Regions from separate parts of the Mus musculus genome. Here regions 1, 2, 3 and 4 are each reported to be linked to region 5. Evidence: microRNA targets listed by miRTarBase, many of them from high-throughput screens and not tested one by one. Region 5 holds a microRNA gene; each other region holds the end of a gene's coding sequence.

Region 1 (4,000 bases), not on the chromosome of region 5:
AGCCTGAGTCTCCTCTGATGTGTAGTTGGGAGCCTACTTCTGCTTAGCACTTCACAGTGGACACCAAGTAGAGAAGGCATCACCGCACTCCACACCCTCTCCCTCTGGCTCCTGTTGTCTTCTGGGTTTCTTGTTTCAAACAAAATGATTAAATGTCAGAGGGGAGTTTAAAACCAGGCGTGGTGACCCACAGAACTCAGGAGGAGGAGGCAGGAGGATTAAAGGTCATTTTGGACTGCAACAAAAATTCATGTCCAGCCTGTGTTATATAAGACCCTGTCTCATAAAGTGGGCGGGGGAGGTGGGGGTAAAGAGGAGGCTCTTAAGCTAAAACGTGATTGGGCTAGTGAACCAGTCAGCCCCCTCATCCTGCCTCCTTATCACCTGGCATCCTGAGCAGTCTCCTGGCCACTGCTGCTGTGGAGAACTGGGCTCTCAGCTGAAAACCAGAGAGGCCACTGTTCAAACTGTTTCACAGTACACCTGAGGTCACTGTCTCTATTTCTGAGCATTTTGCAAATGGCACATGTGGCATTTTGATTTCACAGGGTATGTCTTTGTTTTTTCATTTTATTTTGCTCATTTAGCCTCAAGCCCAAGGCAGAAGACCTATCTGCATTTGAGTCCTCAAAGTAGGTTATTCCCAGGTATTCTGTCTGTGGTGCTGGTCCTTCGTCTGTGGTACTAACCCGTGCATGAGCTTGCCTGTCTCTGTCCTCGGGCCACGCAGAGCCCTCCTGAGGGCAGGGAAGCCTGGGGCCTGGCCACAGCATGCTTTGAGGGTGAGAGCAGCTGTCCACCCTGGGGGGGCCCAGACCAGCCTCCCGGGCCTAGAAGACTGCCTCACTCTGAAGAGCATGCTGTGGGGATGCAGGACCAGTTGCTTGGTTTCCCTTATGTCACTGGTTGGGTTGGGGAAAGTCATGGCTCCCTTTCCAGTCAAATCTAAGTCCTTTTTCTTCTTGGTGGTATACTCCTTTGATAGATACCTCTAGCATGGAAGTGGGAATCAGTTCTGATGCTTTTAAGACTGATGTCTCTTGTTCAAGATCACTCCTCTCCTGTAGTGGTACGCTCTGCAAACTTATCACAGCTGGTAGCTTCTGGGTGTGGGCCACTCATTCTCATTTTTTCCTCAAGCCTTCTGTTCTCTGCACACCCCTTTTCTTTCCTAGGGCAGCAAACAGAACACTGGTGCATCTTTAAGCCAGTTGCAGTGAGTTGGCTGTCCCATGGCTGCTCTAAAGGCCACTTTGGCTTCTGTCCCCCTACCGCATGGAAGGAGCTGTGCATGGACAAGCTCATCTGCAACTGTCCCATTGCAGACACCCAGGAGATGAGTTAGCAGCATTTGTGTTGAGTCAACTAATTAAAGCATTACAGATTATTCTTTCAATATGCCCAGGCAATACAGGATTATCATGCCTAATATTTAAATGTTACCGTCCTTCCATTACTGCTTGATCCCCAGTCATACCCATGTCAGCATGCCTCTGACACTTCTGACAGAGAAATAGGCTATGTCCTTAGCGTCCTCACTGCAGTCAGGTAAAGAAACTCGGAACCTGGACGTTTCCGTTTGCTCATTGTCCACAAAGGAGGTCAGCTGTGACGTCCCAGGTGCATCAGGTAACTGAGAGTGCACAGAGGCCCCACGAACCCGAGACTGTCATTTGAGCCTGCCTGAGTGAATGCACTTCTTTTTTCAGCCTCATGCCCACTTTGGTTCTGCTACCCTGACATCATGCAGTGTGTGCTCTAAACAGGATATTGGAAAGTTGAATCTCTGCCCACATGGTAACCCAAGTGGATCTGTGGTGCTTCGTGCACTCTGGTCAGTGCAGGGCACTCGGAAAACCTTGCTATATCTTACCTGGTGCATCAGATGCTCCCTGCGTATAATTAGGCAATTTCATTAGAATGTGGGTTCATCTTTTGTTGTGTGATATAGAATATTTGTATTCTTCAGGGTCCTAAGTTTGATCATCAGTTCTCACTGAGTTGTTATAAACAAGAGAGGTTTCCTTTTTAGTCATCTTTGTATTGTTTCTAGACCTATAGCCTCATCATGCCAAGTGCCCAATGACAGATTGAGTACACAGTGCTGGGTCTGTACGTTTGTATTACCCAGTGGCATCACAGCCATCTTGGTCTATGATTTTCCCTTAGTGATAAGATCATCTACCAACACACCTCTCACTGCATGGCCCAATCATCAAGTAGCGAGTGACTGTATTTGGAAACGTTTGTTTGTTTGTTAGTTCATTCATTCATTCACTCAGGTGAATGCCTTAATGTGCCTGTTGTTTTCAAAACAGATTGCTAGGCTGTATTTAATTAAGAATTCTGATAACCAGCCGGGCGTGGTGGCGCACGCCTTTAATCCCAGCACTCGGGAGGCAGAGGCAGGCTGGTTTCTGAGTTCGAGGACAGCCAGGGCTATACAGAGAAACCCTGATAACCAAGAATTCTGATAACCAAGGTTACTAAAAGCAAGAACTTGTCTTTCAATATGATGCAAGTTCCTCTCAGCAATTTTAAACTAAATACTGGTGGATTTTGCTGTCTGAGGAATGTTTCATTTACTTAGGTAGTGGCAGTCTCTATGGCTAGTGGCCAGTGCTCATAACTGATGGTCACCTTCCTGTGTAGAGGTGGCTCTCAAGTCATTTCCACTACTGTCTGAACCATTGCTAGCCTAGCAGAAAAGTGTCCCTTCTGGCTTTGGAAGTGTGTGTACCTATTGGTCAAGGGAGGAGCTCCATTTTGACATTGGGGATGAGAGATTCTTAGAGAGGGTTTCTCTTGCTGTGAAGAGACTCCATGACCATGGCAACTCATAGGAAGCATTCACTGGCTTACTTTCAGAGGTTTAGTTTAGTTCATAATCATTGTAGCAGGAAGCATGGTGGTACACAGGCAGACGTGGTGCTGGAGATGTAGCTGAGAGATGTACATTTCAGAAGACAGCACTGGGCCTGGCTTGAGCATTTAAAACTCTAAATGCCCACCCCTGGTGACACACTTCCTCCAACAAGGCCACACCTCCTAATGCCAGATTCTCTGGAATTAGAGTTACAGATGGTTGTGAGCCACCATATGGGTGCTGGGAATTGAACCCTGGTCTTCTGGAAAACCAACCAGTATTTTATTTTATTTTATTTTATTTATTTATTTATTTTTGGTTATTCGAGACAGGGTTTCTCGGTATAGCCCTGGCTGTCCTGGACCTCACTTTGTAGACCAGGCTGGCCTCGAACTCAGAAATCCGACTGCCTCTGCCTCCCAAGAGCTGGGATTAAAGGCATGCGCCACCACGCCCGGCCTCCAACCAGTATTCTTAAGCACTAAGACATCTCTCCAGCCTTTGATTTTTTTGCTTTCTTAGGAGACAAAATTCTTAGCTAGGTGGTGATGGCACACACCTTTAAACCCAGCACCCCAGAGGCAAGGGCAGGCAGATCTCTGGGGGTGGATGGGCAGGGTAGGAATGAGAACTCTTACCTGTAAAGAATTAATCATGGATAAATCAAGCCTGGTAATGGCTCACACCTATAAACCAACGTCTACTGAGGCAAGAGGATCACAAGTTCAAGGACAGCATCAGTAACAGAGCAGGATAAGGAAAGGGGACAGTGCAAGAGTGCTTGCTAGCATGCACGAGGCCGTGCATTAGATCCCAGCCGAACAGGTATCAGAAACGTAACATTCTGCCACGCACAGTGCCAGAGCAAGTGTCAGGACTTGGCTAGGACTATACAGTGAGACCCTGTCTCAAGTCCTCCACCTCCCTCCTCCCTCTTCTCCTCTCTCCCACCCCCAGGATTGTTGTGAGGGTAAATGAAGGAAGTCACGGGAGACACTTAGTGCACAGTGAGGGTTTGACGACATGAAAAGCAGCATCCGCTTGTGGACCAGTGATGAGGGAGGAAGGAGGAATCATGGGTTGTGCTACATGGCTTTAAGCCTACAACTGGTGGTGAGCATTAGGTATGTTGAG
Region 2 (4,000 bases), not on the chromosome of region 5:
ACAAGGCCTCCCTCTGTAGTCCAACTGTCCTGGAACTCCAGATCCTCTTGCCTTAACATCCCGAGTGCTGGGATTACAGCCATGCAGCCGCAGGCTGACCTATGAAGTCCTGTGTGGGATACATTGGGATACAGCTCGGCAGAACTGGGATGCACAGCTCTGCTCTCAAAGTGCTTCCCAAATAATGCACAGGCAAATCCCATGGGTATTGGGTTAGAATACAGACGTCATGGATCTGGGGCGGGGCCAGAGAGACTGCTCTTACACATGCCCCATGTGAAGTCAATGCTGCAAGCTTAGCGAGCCGTGCTGGGTCTGATACACACTCGGTTCTTCGGCTTGCGTCTTTCACGTGTTCATCCGACTCTTTGGTAATTCCCCCCTCCCCCACTTCCCGCTCCTCATTCCTTTCTCCCCACACTTCTCCTGTGCTGGCTAACTTGACCCAGGCAAAAGGCATTTGAGAGATAGGGACCTCAACTGAGGAAATGCCTGCATTAAAAAAAAAAAAAAAAAGTCAGGCCGTGGGCAAGCCTGCAGGGCATTTTCATAATTTGTGATTGATGTGAGAAGGTCCAGCCCAGTGTGGGTGCTGCCATCCCTGGGCTGGTTGTCCTGAGTTCTATAAGAGAGCAAGTCGAGCAAACCGTGGAGAGCAAGCCAGTAAGCAGCATCCCTCCATGGCCTCTGCAACAGCTCCTGTCTCCAGTTACCTGCAGACAGGTAGTGTTCTGCCCACTGGCAACAGCTGCCCTCTGAGAGTGAAAGCTATAGAAACTCCTGTTCTTCCCGGCTTCTCATTTCAGGGAGTGAATTATTCTTGCCATTGGCAAGCTGACCTCCCCTGACTTTCTTGAAGAGGAGAGACAATCTTTTCAAAGCTGGTTAGAGTGCTGTCCTTGGGGACCAAGTGACTTTTGTCCCCTCAGCTCTGTTTTGGTGTCTTGCTGGAGGCGTAATACAGAATGCAGAAGCTTCCAGTACACGTCCTATGCCCCACAGCAGGTGTGTTCCAAAGCTGCCGAGCCTGCTGTGTGCAGGTGGAAGCCACAGAGACCCAACGGCATCAGTGCCTCTTTGGAACAGTGCCCCTCAGCATTGATTACACACTATGATCACCTAGGGAACTTCAAAACGTGCCATTGCCTGGGCCTTCATCCAGGACGCTAATTTAGAGGCAAGGGCAGGGTAGAGGCTGCCAGATAATTCCAATACACCAGTGAGGCTAGCAGCAGCCCCTTGGCCTGCCGGGATTTCCTCGTTGCTCTGGGTTACAGAAACGGTTACAGGACGTTAGGAGTCGTGGATGTGCCTGGCACTGTCAGCTGCTTTGTTCTCCTGTCACGTCACCTTCACGTGTGACTCTGCTCTGATGCATAGTGTGGTGTCCCAGCAGCAGGGAGGCATGACTGGGAGATGCAACCCTGGTGCTGCAGTGTCCCTTGAGCAGGTCACAGCAACCATGATGAAGCACGAGGAAGCATTAGTCATGCAGAGTCTGTCTTTAGACTCGAGATTTTGTTCATTGTGGATCTTCGGCCTTAATGTTCAAAGGGTCTCAGATTGGGATTGGTTGTGTGCGCTCACCCTCCTAGTGCTATGGATAATGAGTTTAAGATGAGCTTGAACCACACAGAGAGACCCTATCTAATAATAAAAACGAAACAGTAACTATCTCCCCAGTGTGTTAAACTATTCCCTAAGTGCAGTGCTGAGTCCTTTGGCATCCTGTCCTTGTCGCCGCCTGAGGCCAGCTCCTCCCGTGGGTAGCCTGCCTCCCAGTGCCGATTGTGGTATTTGACCATGGATTCTGTTGGAATTGGGAGTTCTTAAAAAATGTATCTTGGAGCCAGGCGTGGTGGCACACGCCTTTAATCCCAACACTCAGGAGGCAGAGGCAGGTGGATTTCTGAGGTCGAGGCCAGCCTGGTCTACAAAGTGAGTTCCAGGACAGCCAGGGCTACACAGAGAAACCCTGTCTTGGAAAGCCAAAACAAACAAACAAACAAACAAAAAAAAAAGTATCTTGGTTCTTAAACTTTAAAAACAAACCAAGAAACAAAAGTATACAAACGTGTAACAAAGACACACATTCAGGCAAAACACCCATACGCATAAAACTGTAAAAAGTCTTGTTTAGTCAGAAGAAATCCCAATTCATGGGAAGCAGAGCTTCTGGGACAAAAGGCAGGGCTGCTGACCCCTCCCACAGCCTGGATCTTTGAGACTCGATGGAGAGCCCAAGGCTCTGAGGGACACGGAGGCCAGTGAGGACCACACTACATTTTATTGGTAAGGAAGTGGAGTAGATACAACTGTGGAAAGGAAGAAAAGAAGGAAGGGAGGGGGGAGGGAGGGAGTCAGGAAGGCTGTTCTAGGAGAGGATATAAGACTTAGTTTGAAGTTACCCCCTGCCCCAGAGGCCTAGACACTGGCACATGACTCTACAAGTTACCAATCTGATGTTACTGCTGTACAGTTGGGAAGTGATGTGTAGCTGCCTTTGGGTAGCAGTTCGAGTTGAATCCAGAGAAAGTGTTAGCCTGAGAAGTAGGGGCAGAGTTGGCCCAGGTCTTGGTGGCATGGGTCCCAGCTTTGGGCTCTGTCCACTGGCCTAGCTTTGAGGGACTTGTCACAGAGGTGGTGAATCTTCCCGGGCCTTGCTCTCTGCATGGAGGAGCCTCGTCATGACTCTTGTGAGACCACATGTGGATTCTATGGCCTGGCAGGGTAAATATGCCATGCCCATTGTCAGCCTTCATGTACAGGACATGAAGCCCTTGGGACAAGCCACAGTGAAGGGAGAAAGAGGAAGGGCCTCTCCAACCGGAGCCTCTCTTCTGGGTCTTTGAGACTCACTGGAGTCTCACAGAAGGAAGAAGCGCATGAAAACCGGGGAAGTGTGCATGGGTAGGCTTTTATTACTAAACCCTATGATATACAAAATGCATAATCGAATAACAGCTAAAAAAATAGTTCAAGAAATATGAAATACATATTTTTGAAATGATAAAAATGTAACATGGACATACAAAATGTTGCATATATGTACATAATATATACTTACATATATATATATATAATCACATAATGAAAACTGTAAATAAGAAATGTGTACAACAGTAGGTGGCAAGGGTATTTGTTCCTGTCAGCTCGATGATGGTGACTTACATCTTGTGCCGAGGAAGTCAATAAGAAAGTTTCCTCTCCAAGGGCCTCACAAAGGCATCTGCTGTGAAAGTCACGAGTTTTCAAGTTATTTGGCCAAAGTGTGAGAACTCTCTGGTCTGAAGTTGGTAGAAAGGAAACAGTGAACGTCAGAACCGATCGAGACAGCGGGTGTAGCCCTGCAGAGAAGGTGGTGTGACCCCCGTCCCCTGTAAGGGCCTCTGCAGCGGGACTTAGAAGAGAAAGCAGGCAGTTGGGTCTGTGTTGCTCAGACTCTCCGGTGGGCTGGGTGCTTTCAGGAAGCTCTGGAGTGAGTTCGAGCCTGGGTGGGACATTTAGATCCTGGAACCTTCTTGGTCTCTCCCTGGCTTGGACATCACCGAGTTGGTTGCTTGCGAGACCTCTTTCCCAAAGAAAGGCATTTCAAGTAACAGCTGACACAGAAGAGGTTGTACGTGGCTTGAGCCGGGCCCCGGGTGTGGGACGCTTGAGGCCGGGCCCTCATAGCTCCTTCAGGATGATCTGGATCTTGCCGTCCAGCTCACCCATGTCCAGCAGGAAGGCCACGTGGTTGCTGTAGTGTTGGATGATGTTGTTGTCCATGTTAACCAGGATGCTGGAAGAGAGAGGAGGGAGACATGGTTACTATGCGTCCAGGCCAGCTGTCATGACCCTCTGAGCAACAAGCTTGATAGCAATGCTACAGGCCACTTCTGTAGCTTTCTGTGACCCTCAAGACCAGGCTGTAAGATGAGGAATTCCAGTGGTCAAGTTTCAGCTCGGAACCCAGCCTGCCAGCCATGCCATGCTGGTGCCTGCTGGTGGATGGCTT
Region 3 (4,000 bases), not on the chromosome of region 5:
TTGGTTTTTTTCTTTTGTTGTTTTGTTTTTTCACAATATTATAACAAATAATTCATCCTTTAAGTTAGTGTTTACTTTGCCTTATAAATAGAACTGATAGTTTTGCCATAGTGTTTTCCTGTTTTAGTGATGTAACTCTAGTTACAAACTTCTATATTCCTGTTCTTTCTGTCTCCTTTACCATATTTACTGAGAAATAAAAATATTTTCAGCTATAATGCTTTTATATGGGTGACTAAACTTGTTTTTCAGAAAGCTTTATTATTTATGTTAGGCTTCATGAAAATTGGCACTCAGGATTGCCAAAAGAGAAGTTCAAGGCTAGTCAGGGAGGAATACATAGCATGACACAATCTCAAAAGAAAAAATGGAAGGAGGCTGGGGAGAGAGAGAAAAGAGCCTAATCTGTAGGGAAAATGTTGGGAGGTTTATCCAAACCAGGATCTTACATATTTAGCAAATATATTCTTTGAGAAGATACTGAGGAAATGTTCACCTTACCAACTTTCTAATATTATTATTCTTCAGGTTGAATCTCCAGTAATCTGTAAAATTCTAGATACAGCTGATGAAAATGGACTTCTTTCTCTCCCCAATTAAAAGATATTAAAGTTGAAAGAAAGAAAGATGATTGAAAATCATCACTTTCTCCTGACCACATCTCTTTATAGAGTCTCACCATTGGACCTTGTCTGTAGTATCACAAAAAGGACTGGCAACCACACTGTGAAATTCACGTGTATATAAGAGATTACAGATAAACTTGTAAGGCAGATCCTTGTCTCACTTCATTCATTTTGGTCTTGTATGAACTGATTGCGTTTGGCTTTGCTTGGGTAATGTAATTTCAAAACAAATCTGATCCAAGCAGTTTAGTCCAGCTTATCAAATGTCATATACCTTGTACTTGTTAAAGTATTTTAAATAATATACTTACTGAATAAATTACAGCACATATGACAAGCTAATGAAGTAAAGATAATTTAGAAAGAAGTTTCTAGAAGATTGTATAAAATGAGGGGCCACATAAAATGTATAAAATTCTAGTGCCTGAAATCCTTTCAGCAAATGTTTCTGTGACAGTTGCTCGCTGTCAAGCACTAAACTAGAAGTGGAAATAGAGGAGAGCCTCACAGATAACCTGAGATCACTCAAGAAACTGGTTTTTTTTTTTTTTAAATGAGAGGTTGCTCTTTTTCTTGAACTTTTATGATTCTTACCATGAATGAGTTTACTACAGAGTACATGTCTAGTGCAGACAGTTCGTGACTCATCTCTACATTAGAATGGTTCATTCTAAAATTCACTGTGCTGGCTCTCGTACGTGCCTGCTGTATAGTATAAATCTTAGTTCTGGACAGCTTTACAGCACAATATTTATTTTAAAGAGAATAAAATGTTATTAAGCAGTCTTTTCATGTAATTAGTGGCAGATTATTCAGTTACTTTATTTTCTCCTTTATCCTTTTTGCATATATTTTATCCATATGAATCTGAACAAGGACAAAAAAGTGGCCATAGGGACTGAGAGAATACTTTAGAGGCAGAGCATGTTTGAGGCCCTCAGTTCAGTCTCCCACAACAAAAATAAAAAGTTGGATATTGGGGTTCATGCTTTTGTTCCCAGCACTAAGTAGACAGATTCAGGGGATCAGAAAGTTCAAAGATAGCCTGGTCTACGCCAAGGATAGCCAGTTCTGCACCAACCAGGGCAACAAAGTTGAAAGCCTATCTTAAACAGTCAAAATAAAAGGTGGTCCAGATACTCCTGAAAACCAGTATTTCTGATAAAAGCTATATTAAGAAAGGGTTTATGACCAGGCCTAATGGCATGGCATTAATTAATTAATTAATTAATTAATGTAATGCCAGCACTTGAGAAGTAGATACTAGAAGAATCAGAAGTTCAAAGTCTGCTACATAGTGAGTTTGAAGCCAGCCTGGGCTGCAGGAGACCTTGTCTTAGAAATTAATTAATTAGTTAATAATTAATTAATATGTGAACTTTTTTATTCTACACCAAGTACATTCAGCACTTTTGGGTATCCTACAATTGATTTAATTAATTCAATGCCTTTATTGCTAGGGCGGGGGGTTTAGTGGTAAAGCAGTCTAGGACAGTGGTTTAAAACCTGTGGGTAATGGCCCCTTTAGGGGTTAAATGACCTTTTCATGGGGGAGGGGTGTCACCTAAGTCCATCAGAAAACATATTTACATTATGATTCATAACAGTAGCAAAACTACAGTTAGAAGTAGCAACAAAAAGTTTTATGGTTGAGGTCACCACAACATGAGGAGCTGTATTTAGGGATCACAGCAGTAAGGTAAGTCTAGGAGGTGAAAGAATCTGGCTGGAGACTGGAGATGCAGCTCATTGGCAGACTGCTTAGCAAACACAAGATCCTGGATTCCATTTCCAGCACAGCACAAGAAATGAAGAAAAGAAAAAAGTAAATGACTCAACATAGTGTCTTAACCCCAGAACTTGGAAAACAAAGAAGTATTGCCATGAATTTGAGACCAATCTGATTTGCCATACACTGTGAATTCTAGGCTAATCTAGAAAGAGTGAATGAGATGAGACACTTTCTTAAAAAAAAAAAAAAAAAAAAAGCAAGCTGGGCATACCTTTTATGCCCACTTGAGAAAGCAGAGGCAGGTAGGGTTACTGTGAGTTTGAAACCAGCCTGGTCTACATACTAAGTAATCAGTTATTCCTACATAGCATAGAATGGCCTATATAACAAAAAATATGTAAACTTTTTTATTCTACACCAACTATACTCAGCACCTTTGGGTACCCTACAATTAATTTTAGTTCTCATGCTTACCTACTTGGACTTAGCATCATATGTCACAGGTAAAAAGGATTCAACCTTACAAAGTTGCTCCACATCAGATGTCAGCTACAAATATTGCAAGTACCAAGTTCTAATTTTATATACGTGTGTGTGTGTGTGTGTGTGTGTGTGTGTGTGTGTGTGTGTGTGTGTGTGTGTGTGTGTGTGTGTATGCATGCCTATTTGCCTATATGTGCACCACATAGTTACAGGAAGTTGGGAGCTACCCAAAGTGGGTGCTGGGAACTAAACTCAGGTCCTTTGAAAGATGAGCAAGTGTTTTTAAACACCGAACCATCTATGAAGTCCCTGGATTCTAATACCTTTTACCAGACAGCTATAAATCAGTCTCCAGACCTACTACTTTTTCTCAAAAGTTTGCTAGAATGGCTCACAGAACTCTGGTAAATACTTAGTTTAACAGTTATAAAGGAGAGAAGCACTAATAAAGTCAAATTAAAGAGGTAAATAAGGCGAGGAGGTTGGGCTAGAGTTCAGTTTCTATACTCTCCAGATCTCAAGAATTCAAAAGTTTATATGGAGCGTGAAACCCACCCTTCCCTAATACACACACACACACACACACACACACACACACACACACACACACACAGAAGGGGGGGGGGGGGAGAGGGAGCAGGAGAGGGATCACCGGATGGGATTGAAGTTCCAGCCTTGACAATCATTTGGTCCTTCTGGTAAATGGCCTCATTTGGAGACTGTCTAGGGGTTGTGATTTTTCAGCATAGATGTTGAAAGCAAGCTATATTCTGTTAATCTTGGTTTTTCAGGCTGTGCCTCAACTCTGAGACTCCATTTTACAAGCAGCATTTGAGTAGACAGAAACAAAGACAGATGGGTGACTCTGTACTTTGCAAACAACACAATCCATCTGGCATCACTGACAAGGCACAACTGATAAAGTAAAAACACTATAATTTTGTCAAATTAATATCACACACAACTATGTATGTTAAAATTGTATCAAGAAATTCAGCAAGAACTTACTGAACTTCCTAAACTGAGGAAGAGATGTGGCAACCTAATTTGGACCCAGTTAGAGGAGGACACCTTTAATAGCCCTGGGAGTGACAGCTCCATCTGCTTACCTGGAAACTAAAGCACTTGTGAGTTTATTGCTATCCAATTCTGACATGTA
Region 4 (4,000 bases), not on the chromosome of region 5:
TATCTTTGTTCACTAATTTAATATCAGAAACATCTCCTCAAGTTGCTCTTAGTCTTTCCGACTGCTTGTTTTAATTTATTTACTCCCCCCCCCCCATTCTACCCCATTCCCTCCCATGTTGCTTCCAACAACGTAGAATTAAAACAGAAAGCTCATCTCTCTTCTTCCTTTCAGACCACTCGGCTTCTACTGAGCAACCACAAGGCCTTGGGAAACAAGGAGCCCTCGGGGCTGTGGAAGCCAGGCCTTTCCTCCCTGCCCGTGCTCAGTCGCCCAGGAAGCCCCAATAAACCTGAACGAGCTTCGGAGGAAGTGAGAAGCCCCTGTCCATCTTGGAGGATCAGAAGCAAGACTTTTGCTGAGCTGCAGTTTTTAGCCGGTCTTTCTCTCCCTCACTTAGTATCATTGGCAACTGTAATACCTACCTCACAACTAACTGATCGCCAGGACCCAGGGTGGAAACGAAAATACACTTGCGGCTGAGGGCTGAGGTTGGACCTGGAGCCAGCCAAGAGAGGGTAAATTCTGAGCACGTAATCCAGGGTGAATCCTGAAGCTGTAGTCTCTCTCTGCAGCCCCTGAATGCCTTCGAGCCTCAATGGAGGGCAGGTTTCTTCTGCTGTCTGCTAGGTCCCGCTGGTGTTTTCTAGACTCCATTTACATAGCTTATGTTATGGACATCACAGTTTGTGAACTCTGTATTGTTTGTTACTTGGGCTTATACTTAGTTCCTTTTTTGCAAAGAATTGTTAATATAAGTGTAATCACCTCCCTTATTCTGTAATATTTCATACTCCTAACAGTGTTTGAATATCTCATTTTGTATCTGTGCAGTATTGAATTTAAAAGCCAATTTGTACCTTTGCTTGGCTTGTAGGTGCTAAACAATACTGTTTTCTGATACATATTTCTTTAACTGTCTGTGTGGATAACCTCTGTCCCTGCTTTCTGTGTCTCTTGCTTGATTTTGTGAATTTCCCATGTTGCATTTTGTGGCTTGGGCCCTCTGTGCTGTCATCAATACTGTGTTCATAATATTCAAGTTTCTGGGTCCATCCTCAGTCAGCAACCCAGCTAATGATCTCTGGACTCTGCTCGGAGGTTTCTACCTCACCCCACCCCTCTCTCATCCTCTATCGAGCCTATCAGAGCTCAGCTGCTCTATCCTGAAGGATGTGTGGTTCACTCCTTCCAGTTATATCTCCCCGGTGTGGATGGGACAGACCATCAGGAATCCATATATACCTTGCCCATTTCGTGGTCTCTCCCTCCCTCCTCCCTCTCCCCTCCTCTCCTTCTCCCTCTCTCTCCTCCGTCCTCCCTCTTCCCTCCTCCCTTCCCTCCTCCCTTCCTCCAGCCTCTCTGTACCCACTCATCCTGTTGTTTTCAGTGTGTGCTTTGCTGATATTTGTTGTGGTCATGTTCCCCAATGTAACTGTGTAAAAAGATTTGTGTTTCTTTCCATAACGTGACATTTGAGAAATAGGAGCAATTTAGTAAGTTTTCATAAAGCCAAACTTACCTTATTTGGAGAAACTTTTATCATGATACCAATGGATCAAAGGAGAGGAGGGATGTAAAAGTGTCCTTTCCAAACCAGTTTCCTCTTAGTGGACAGTAAGCTCGCGGACTTAGGGCTTCTCACTTCAGTTGTCAGTAACAGTACTTCTGAGATTGTGTTTTATATTCTTTTCTTTCTTTTAAAATTCAAGTTGTGACATTTTTTTCCTAGTGGTATTTGTGTGTGTGTGTGTGTGTGTGTGTGTGTTTGTGTGTGTGTTTGTGTGTGTGTTTATGCATTGGGATCAAACCAAGGGCCTTGCCCATGTGAAACAAAGTCCTCCACCAGCAAGGTACATCTAAGTCCTGGACTAAACTTTAAAGTAAAATTTTAGTCCAGTCCCAGTGGTGCAGGCCTTTAATCCCAGCACTCCAGAGGCAGAGGCAAGCAGATCTGTGAGTTCAAGACTGCCTGATGTACAGAGTGAGTTCCAGGCTAGTCAGAGCTGCACAGTGAGACCCTGCCTCAAAAGAAATTGCATTTAATTATTATTACTATTTACACTCTGTCATTTTCCTATATGTATTTTGCTGTAAGCCATCTTAAATCCTTGATGGGATGGGGTGGCTCAGTGTGTTCTCTTTCCATCAATAGACGTGGTAGCTCTTACAGTGGTAGCTCTTATAGTATTGCTTTCTCATGTGTCTCACCAGCATGCTCTCAGATATGATGTTCCTGGTCTGTAACCATTGTTGCAACATTTTATTCAAGTCCATAGTATTTCATTTTAAGTTTTAGTTCTTTTGGGAATTTAGTCTACAAAATTATCTTTTTGTGTATATGATACTGGGAATGGGCCTGTGGCTCATGAGCACTAGGCAAGTGTGCTCTACCTCTGAGCTGTATTCTCAGCACTCAAATTATGTTATGTAAGTGTTACCAGATCGAGTCTGGCTGCTCACCCCATGCTGGGCAGATAAAGTTAAGAGATGTGGTACTGAGGGAAGAGGGTGATTTTATTCACAAACCTTCGTAGAAAGGAAGGATGGGGGTGTTTGGAGCCTGCTCGCTGGGGAGCTAACTTGGGGTCAGTTTACACTAGTGGGTGATGGCTGACCTTGGGCACTCTCTCGCGGTGCGTGGGCCAGAGAATGCGCAGCTCTTTGCTTTGTCTTGTGTTTTCATTTCTTCATGTCTCAGAAACAGAGCAGTGTTTCCTTGGACTTTACTTTTCAAATTAGTTCCACAGCACACAGGGAAATGACTCCCGGGGTGGAGAGGTCCTGAGCCCTCCCCCCCCCTTGTGTAATGAGCGAACTAGGCTTCATGATCACGCCCCCAACCGATAGTTCAAGTGGAGCCTTGTCACTTTACTGCACAAACTTCTCTAGCTCTAACACGAGAATTCTCTGAGGACTCTCAGGAATCGCAACCGGTTTCCTCCAGCCCTCCCCCCACCTCATTCTGAGACCATTATCCAGTCATTTGACTTAAGACAACAAGTTATTGATTGTCCTTATTATCTTTTCCTCATTCCATGGCAAATCTGTTTCCAAGTGTTGGAAGTTCTTTCCCCCTCAGAAACCTTCTAAAGGGTCAGTTTTCCTTACCTCTCTCCACCTTCAGACACTGCCCTGGTGCACACCCCCACCTCTCCCTGCCTTGGTATACACACACACAAAACTGTCACTGCCTTTGTGCACACTTCTCTTATGTATTTCATAGGCACATTACTCAATGATGTCCAGGTTAATTGTTGAGTTTTTTTGTTTGTTTTGTTTTTGTTTTTTGGTATGAGGTGCTGGGTAGGCTCTTATACCCATGGTAGCCATGGTAGCCGCATTTAAATATTGATATAGTTGGCCTTTGAAGATTTCATTTACTCTCTCTCATTTATTTGTTGACACGGTCTCATGCAGCCCGGGCTAGTCTCGAACTCACTATGTAGCTCAGGCTGGGTTTGAACTCCTTATCCCCTGGCCTCTATCTCCCATGAGGTGGGGGTGTCGGTGATGCTACCACATCTGCCTCTAAAGTGGCTTGTGTTTCCCTGCTTTTAAATACGTTTTACTTATTTACTATACGTGTTGTGTTTACGTTTTACTTATTTACTATACGTGTTGTGTTTAGGCTTACGGATGTAGTGATGTGTGTGGTTCGGTGATGTATATGTGGAGGTCAGAGGTCGCCTCCCTGTTGTCAGTTCTCGCCTTCCATATGTGGGAGGTGGCTTTAGACTTGTAATCCTGCTGCTCCTTAAGTGCTAGGGTCACAGGTGTGGGACACACCAGGCTCTCTCCTCTTCTCCCTGCCTCCATTCCAGCTGCCTGATCTTTTGGAAGCAAACCTAAGGATATTGCAGTTCTGTTTCTCCTGCCGAAATTTTCATCGGCCTCCATCACGCAGGGCAAGCATCCTACGTTAGGATGCACAGGGGCAGAGCAACAGGTAAATGGGGGTAAGGAAGAAGGGCTGTGGCAAGCTGTCCCAACAGTGGTG
Region 5 (4,150 bases):
CTAAATACCTAATAAAAAAAAAATGAAAAAAAAAAAAAAAATAAAAAAAAAAAAAAAAAAAAAGAAGTGCAGGCTAATCCCTACTGGGCCCCCTGTGCTCGTGAAGCAGGGACAGAGCTTGGGTATCACTGCCTTGTAGACTCAGGAGGACATTCTGTGCTATTTCCAACAGGGTGGCACTGAGGACAAGACAGGCCAAGGGATGGTCTCACATACAGACTAGAGAGTCAACCAACACAAAGGCTTCAGTTCTTGGCATCAATGCCTCAAAGTAGAAATGGTCTAGGGTAGGACATGGTGCAGAGAAGTAGGCTGTGGGATAGTCATCAGATAGAAAACAAACGTCTCAGAGACAAGCTAGCTCAGGTACCACCAGCACGGACTCTACTTAGGATGCTTCTTCCTCTAAGATGCCCTTCTGGACTTCCCAACCCCCACCTCAGGAGATGTGAGGCTCTGGGTCAGGATGAGTCAGCTACATGCCTGACCATCAGTGGTGTCCAGTGGGTCAGCAAAGTGTGTCCCTCCCCTGACACCCATGCTCACACAGTAAGAGCCAATGATAAAGAGAGGTGACCATGCACTGTACCAGCATTAAGAATGGAAACCCGTCACGGGCAATCTCACCTCAGATACTAGGAACTGCACGTGTAACCAACTGGCCTGGCTCTTCCCTAAGTATCATGCTAGCCCCTCCAAGCCCTCATGGTATTGAGAAGCACCCAGGGTACAGGGCATTTGAGCATGCAGCCCTCGGTGGAAGCCTTAGACAGGGACAAACACCCATTGTTGTGGCGGGAAAGAGGCATGGAAAGTGGACAGCCATCCATTGCACATCTGGCCAATGCTTCGTGGCCCAGCCTACAAGGTTGGTGCGATCCCAGGAGGCTCCTCAGAGCTGAGGTTCAGTGAAGAGGGGGTGACAAGCGTCATACAGAGTCCATGCATTTACCTACCGGGCAGTGGTGTGACACCTGGTATGTACTGCCGAGTGACCGGAGTGGCAGGTGGTATTGAAAACAGGCCATCTGTGTTATATTCGTCATTAATAAAGCGAACTCATCACAGACAACCTCTCCTCAAGTACCCAGTGTTGACCGCAGCAACCCTGGAGCTGGAATCACCACCTGAAGCTGTCCTGGGGGGAAGGGGGGGATTGCATATAAATGGTGAGTAGGGTTGACACAGGCAGCACACAGCCTGTTCCACCCAGCCCAGTTCCCCGCGGAGGCAGCAACCTAGAAGCACCATGCTGTCCCCACCCCCACAGGGGCTGCAACTCCAAGAGCTTCTCCAAGCTGAGCGTTGATACTGAGAAAAGATCAACCATGTATTATTCGAAGTCAGCCAAGCGAATATAACACGGTCGATCTCCCTTCAAGTACCAGCAGAGGTGTTGAGCTGAGGCTGTGACATCCTGGGCGCAGGCTGCAGCGGGCACCGACGGCTAGTGGACCAGGTGAAGTACATTAGAAACAATTACTTTCCAGCTGGTCGACCATCCGTCCCATACCCCAGAGCGAGATGAGTCCATGGTCTTCCCTGAGGTGGCCTCCCTGGAGGGATTTGATACCGAAAAGGGGTTCACCGAGCAACATTCGTCCTCCAGATGCAAAGTTGCTCGGGTAACCTCTCTCCGAGTACCACGGAGAGGCTCGGATGCTCAGAACGAGGCCGATGGCTGAGTTTCCAGAAGAACCATCCTGGAGCCCCTCAGAGATTATAACTCCCCATTCAGTGAGGAGCCACCCTCCACCACGTGAAAGCAATTATTCCATCACCTCCCCAGTGCAATCTACCACCCTTTCACCTTCCAAGAATATCTAAAGCCTTCCCAGACAACCTTGAGACCCAGGTAGCGAGGAGCTGACTCGGGGCAGAAGTGGGTGCAGAACTCTGCTTACTCTATCTCTCCTTTGTAAGCTGGAGATAGGGAGATGCTGAGACCCTGCGCATATACCACACCACCCTCCCAGAGACGATGCCTTCCAGAAGCGAGGAGGCAATGACTGCATCATCCAGAGATGCTCCTCCTTGGGCCCACCCAACCACTGCAGCCCCACGACCCTGGCATCCCCGCCCTGTCACCTGCCCCCTCCCCCCACGGTGATGTCATAGCAAGAACTGCTTGACCATCCAGTCCTATAAACCAAGCAAGTAATGCTTCAAAGATAAACATGGAGGGAGGAGAGAAAGAACAGCGGAAGGAGATCCCGCAGGGTCCCCTTGTGCCAGTGTGTATGGCTGCCCCGCACGAGCACGCCAGGGAGGGCTCTCCAGTAAGGGTCAGGATCCATTGACTTAGGCCATAAGCAGAGTATGGATTCTGTGTTCGCCACTCATTTTAAAACTCTTGGAGTGTGACCAACATCAGAATCCCTTCTCTGATTTTGGCAAGAGTTCACACAGGCTTCTAGCCTTGCTGCAGGGCAGCAAGAGACTGGTCACATGCAGTGTGTCATACGGGGAAAAGACGCCACGGGCAGCTTCATGTAGGTGTTCTGGAAACTGACCTGTGGGACAGAGGCTCTTTCCCCAGCTGGCATCACCTCCTGGAAATGCTCCTAAGAGGCACACAATGGCGATGATGGTGGCTAACGGTAGCTACAAGATCCAGTCAACAGTATGGGGAGGGAAGCTTGTCCAGGTTCTTCCTCCAAGCACTTGTCCTGGAGAGAGCTCCAGCCACTGACCAGTTCCAAGACAATGATGTAGCCTCTGGAGTCCTTTGAGGTAAAGATCCTTTTGGAAAGAGAGCCACCATGAAACCTGGTGCTCATCACACCCCAGATAGTATATTAGACCCTGGATACATCCACTCTAAAATGACCTCCCGTACGGGCCTAGCCCTTCAGCACCAACAATGGGTACGTCTTTAAGCCTAGCCCTGGGAGCTGGCAACATGGAAACCCAAGGAAGGGCAGGCCCTAGAATGTTCCAGGTACCAACTGCTCGGCAAGAGCAGACTCCCCAGAACCAGTGTCTTACCCGGAATGTTTCATGAGGATCGAGGAAAGTGAAGAAGACTGCTCAGTGGGCACGTGCTCTGGCACTGGTACCCAGTCACATCCTCCAGGTGACACCCGCCAGCTTCTGAATACTCCATGAAGCTCTCTGTAAAGGTTTGGGATGGGAAAATAAAGTTTAGCCACATTAAAAAAAAAAACCCACATGGTGACCAGTCCTTCTTATCACCCCACTAGCTCTAGTCTATATCCATAGATTTCCCCATCTCAAACACCACACCCACATTGATTTTCATAAAAAAACATGCATTTCTTTCCTTTTTTTTTTTTTAAAGTAAATTCCATTAAACTAATCCAATTCCCTGTTTAGCTTCCTTGACTGTGCTGTTGGGCCATTTTCATTTCTTTTATTTCCCTTGTTATTTCCTCAAATCATTTTCATTAGGATCAATTCTTTCCCATTTAAAAATCTGAACGAAGATTTGATTCCTCAATGTGCGTTCATCTACCACAAATATTACTGCTCATAGCATCCGCCACTACTGAAGCTGCCCCTTGCGGCTGCCATGTCTACAGAGTACTGTTTCCCCAGGTCAAATGTCGCAGCTCAAATGTTGTCAAGAAAATTGGATTCTTCTGCCAATTTGTAGTCAATTGAACACATTTTCCTCCAAGCTATTCTGGTAGTTTGTGGTGTTATTTTGTGATTATTTTATCACTATTATTTAATGTAAACGGGATGAAATGCTGGTCGCCTCTATTCATTTCCTAACCCATCCAAAAATGGAGAACAAGGTTTGGTGAGCGATGAGGACGAAAGAGAAACAGACAGAGGTGTGTTGAGGGGGTGGGGTGGGAGGGGGGAAAAACAGATGGTATGTGAGCACTCCTGACCCAGTGAGTTGAGGAGAGGAAGGGGGTGGGGAGGGAAGGCTGCCATTGTCCTTGACACTGTCAAAGGACAGAGTTCATTTTGTCAAGGTATCTTCAGAGTAGAGATAGAACAGCGAGTGTGTCTGCAACTAGGGGGGCTAGGTGCTGGTGTGACAAAGAGGATTCAGGCTGAGAAGAGTCAGGGAGTAGATATTGGCATCTCTCCATTGGTTCCTGGGACTACATGTCTGGTCACGTGGCGTTCTGAGCCACACCCCTTCCTGACCATCCCCATATCCACACCTTCCATT

The links. Region 5 holds the annotated microRNA mmu-miR-410-3p (AAUAUAACACAGAUGGCCUGU, at 1,020-1,040, opposite strand). A microRNA usually pairs through its seed, bases 2 to 8, with sites in the 3' UTR of a target mRNA and lowers its output. Matches are read on the target gene's strand: a 7mer-m8 pairs with bases 2 to 8, a 7mer-A1 pairs with bases 2 to 7 and ends in A, and an 8mer does both.
Region 1: miRTarBase lists Nf2 as a target of mmu-miR-410-3p. The part of its 3' UTR that is shown has no 7-base or 8-base seed match.
Region 2: miRTarBase lists Grhl3 as a target of mmu-miR-410-3p. Seed matches in the 3' UTR shown: 7mer-A1 at 3,077-3,083.
Region 3: the mRNA of Erlec1 is a reported target of mmu-miR-410-3p. The part of its 3' UTR that is shown has no 7-base or 8-base seed match.
Region 4: miRTarBase lists Zc3hav1l as a target of mmu-miR-410-3p. Seed matches in the 3' UTR shown: 7mer-m8 at 1,195-1,201.

The regions. Positions count from the first base shown.
Region 1 is chr11:4,777,210-4,781,209 of GRCm38, reverse strand. It overlaps Nf2 (neurofibromin 2), which reads left to right. Exons shown (of 17, transcript NM_001252250.1): 16 at 588-632. The coding sequence ends at 623. Among named protein-coding and RNA genes, the nearest start is that of Cabp7, 32 kb to the right of the region's middle.
Region 2 is chr4:135,538,990-135,542,989 of GRCm38, forward strand. Grhl3 (grainyhead like transcription factor 3) reads right to left here. Exons shown (of 16, transcript NM_001013756.2): 16 at 2,899-3,784. The coding sequence ends at 3,670. Among named protein-coding and RNA genes, the nearest start is that of Gm30888, 33 kb to the right of the region's middle.
Region 3 is chr11:30,928,377-30,932,376 of GRCm38, reverse strand. It overlaps Erlec1 (endoplasmic reticulum lectin 1), which reads left to right. Exons shown (of 14, transcript NM_025745.3): 14 at 529-2,593. The coding sequence ends at 600. Among named protein-coding and RNA genes, the nearest start is that of Erlec1, 24 kb to the left of the region's middle.
Region 4 is chr6:38,289,312-38,293,311 of GRCm38, reverse strand. Zc3hav1l (zinc finger CCCH-type, antiviral 1-like) reads left to right here. Exons shown (of 4, transcript NM_172467.3): 4 at 175-4,000. The coding sequence ends at 290. Among named protein-coding and RNA genes, the nearest start is that of Zc3hav1l, 7.9 kb to the left of the region's middle.
Region 5 is chr12:109,740,654-109,744,803 of GRCm38, reverse strand. It overlaps Mir410 (microRNA 410), which reads right to left and starts at 1,089; the gene lies at 1,009-1,089. It overlaps Mirg (miRNA containing gene), which reads right to left. Exons shown (of 8, transcript NR_028265.1): 3 at 2,989-3,114; 4 at 2,514-2,742; 5 at 1,386-1,447; 6 at 957-1,138. It overlaps Mir541 (microRNA 541), which reads right to left and starts at 2,395; the gene lies at 2,306-2,395. Mir409 (microRNA 409) reads right to left here and starts at 1,646; the gene lies at 1,568-1,646. It also overlaps Mir412 and Mir369.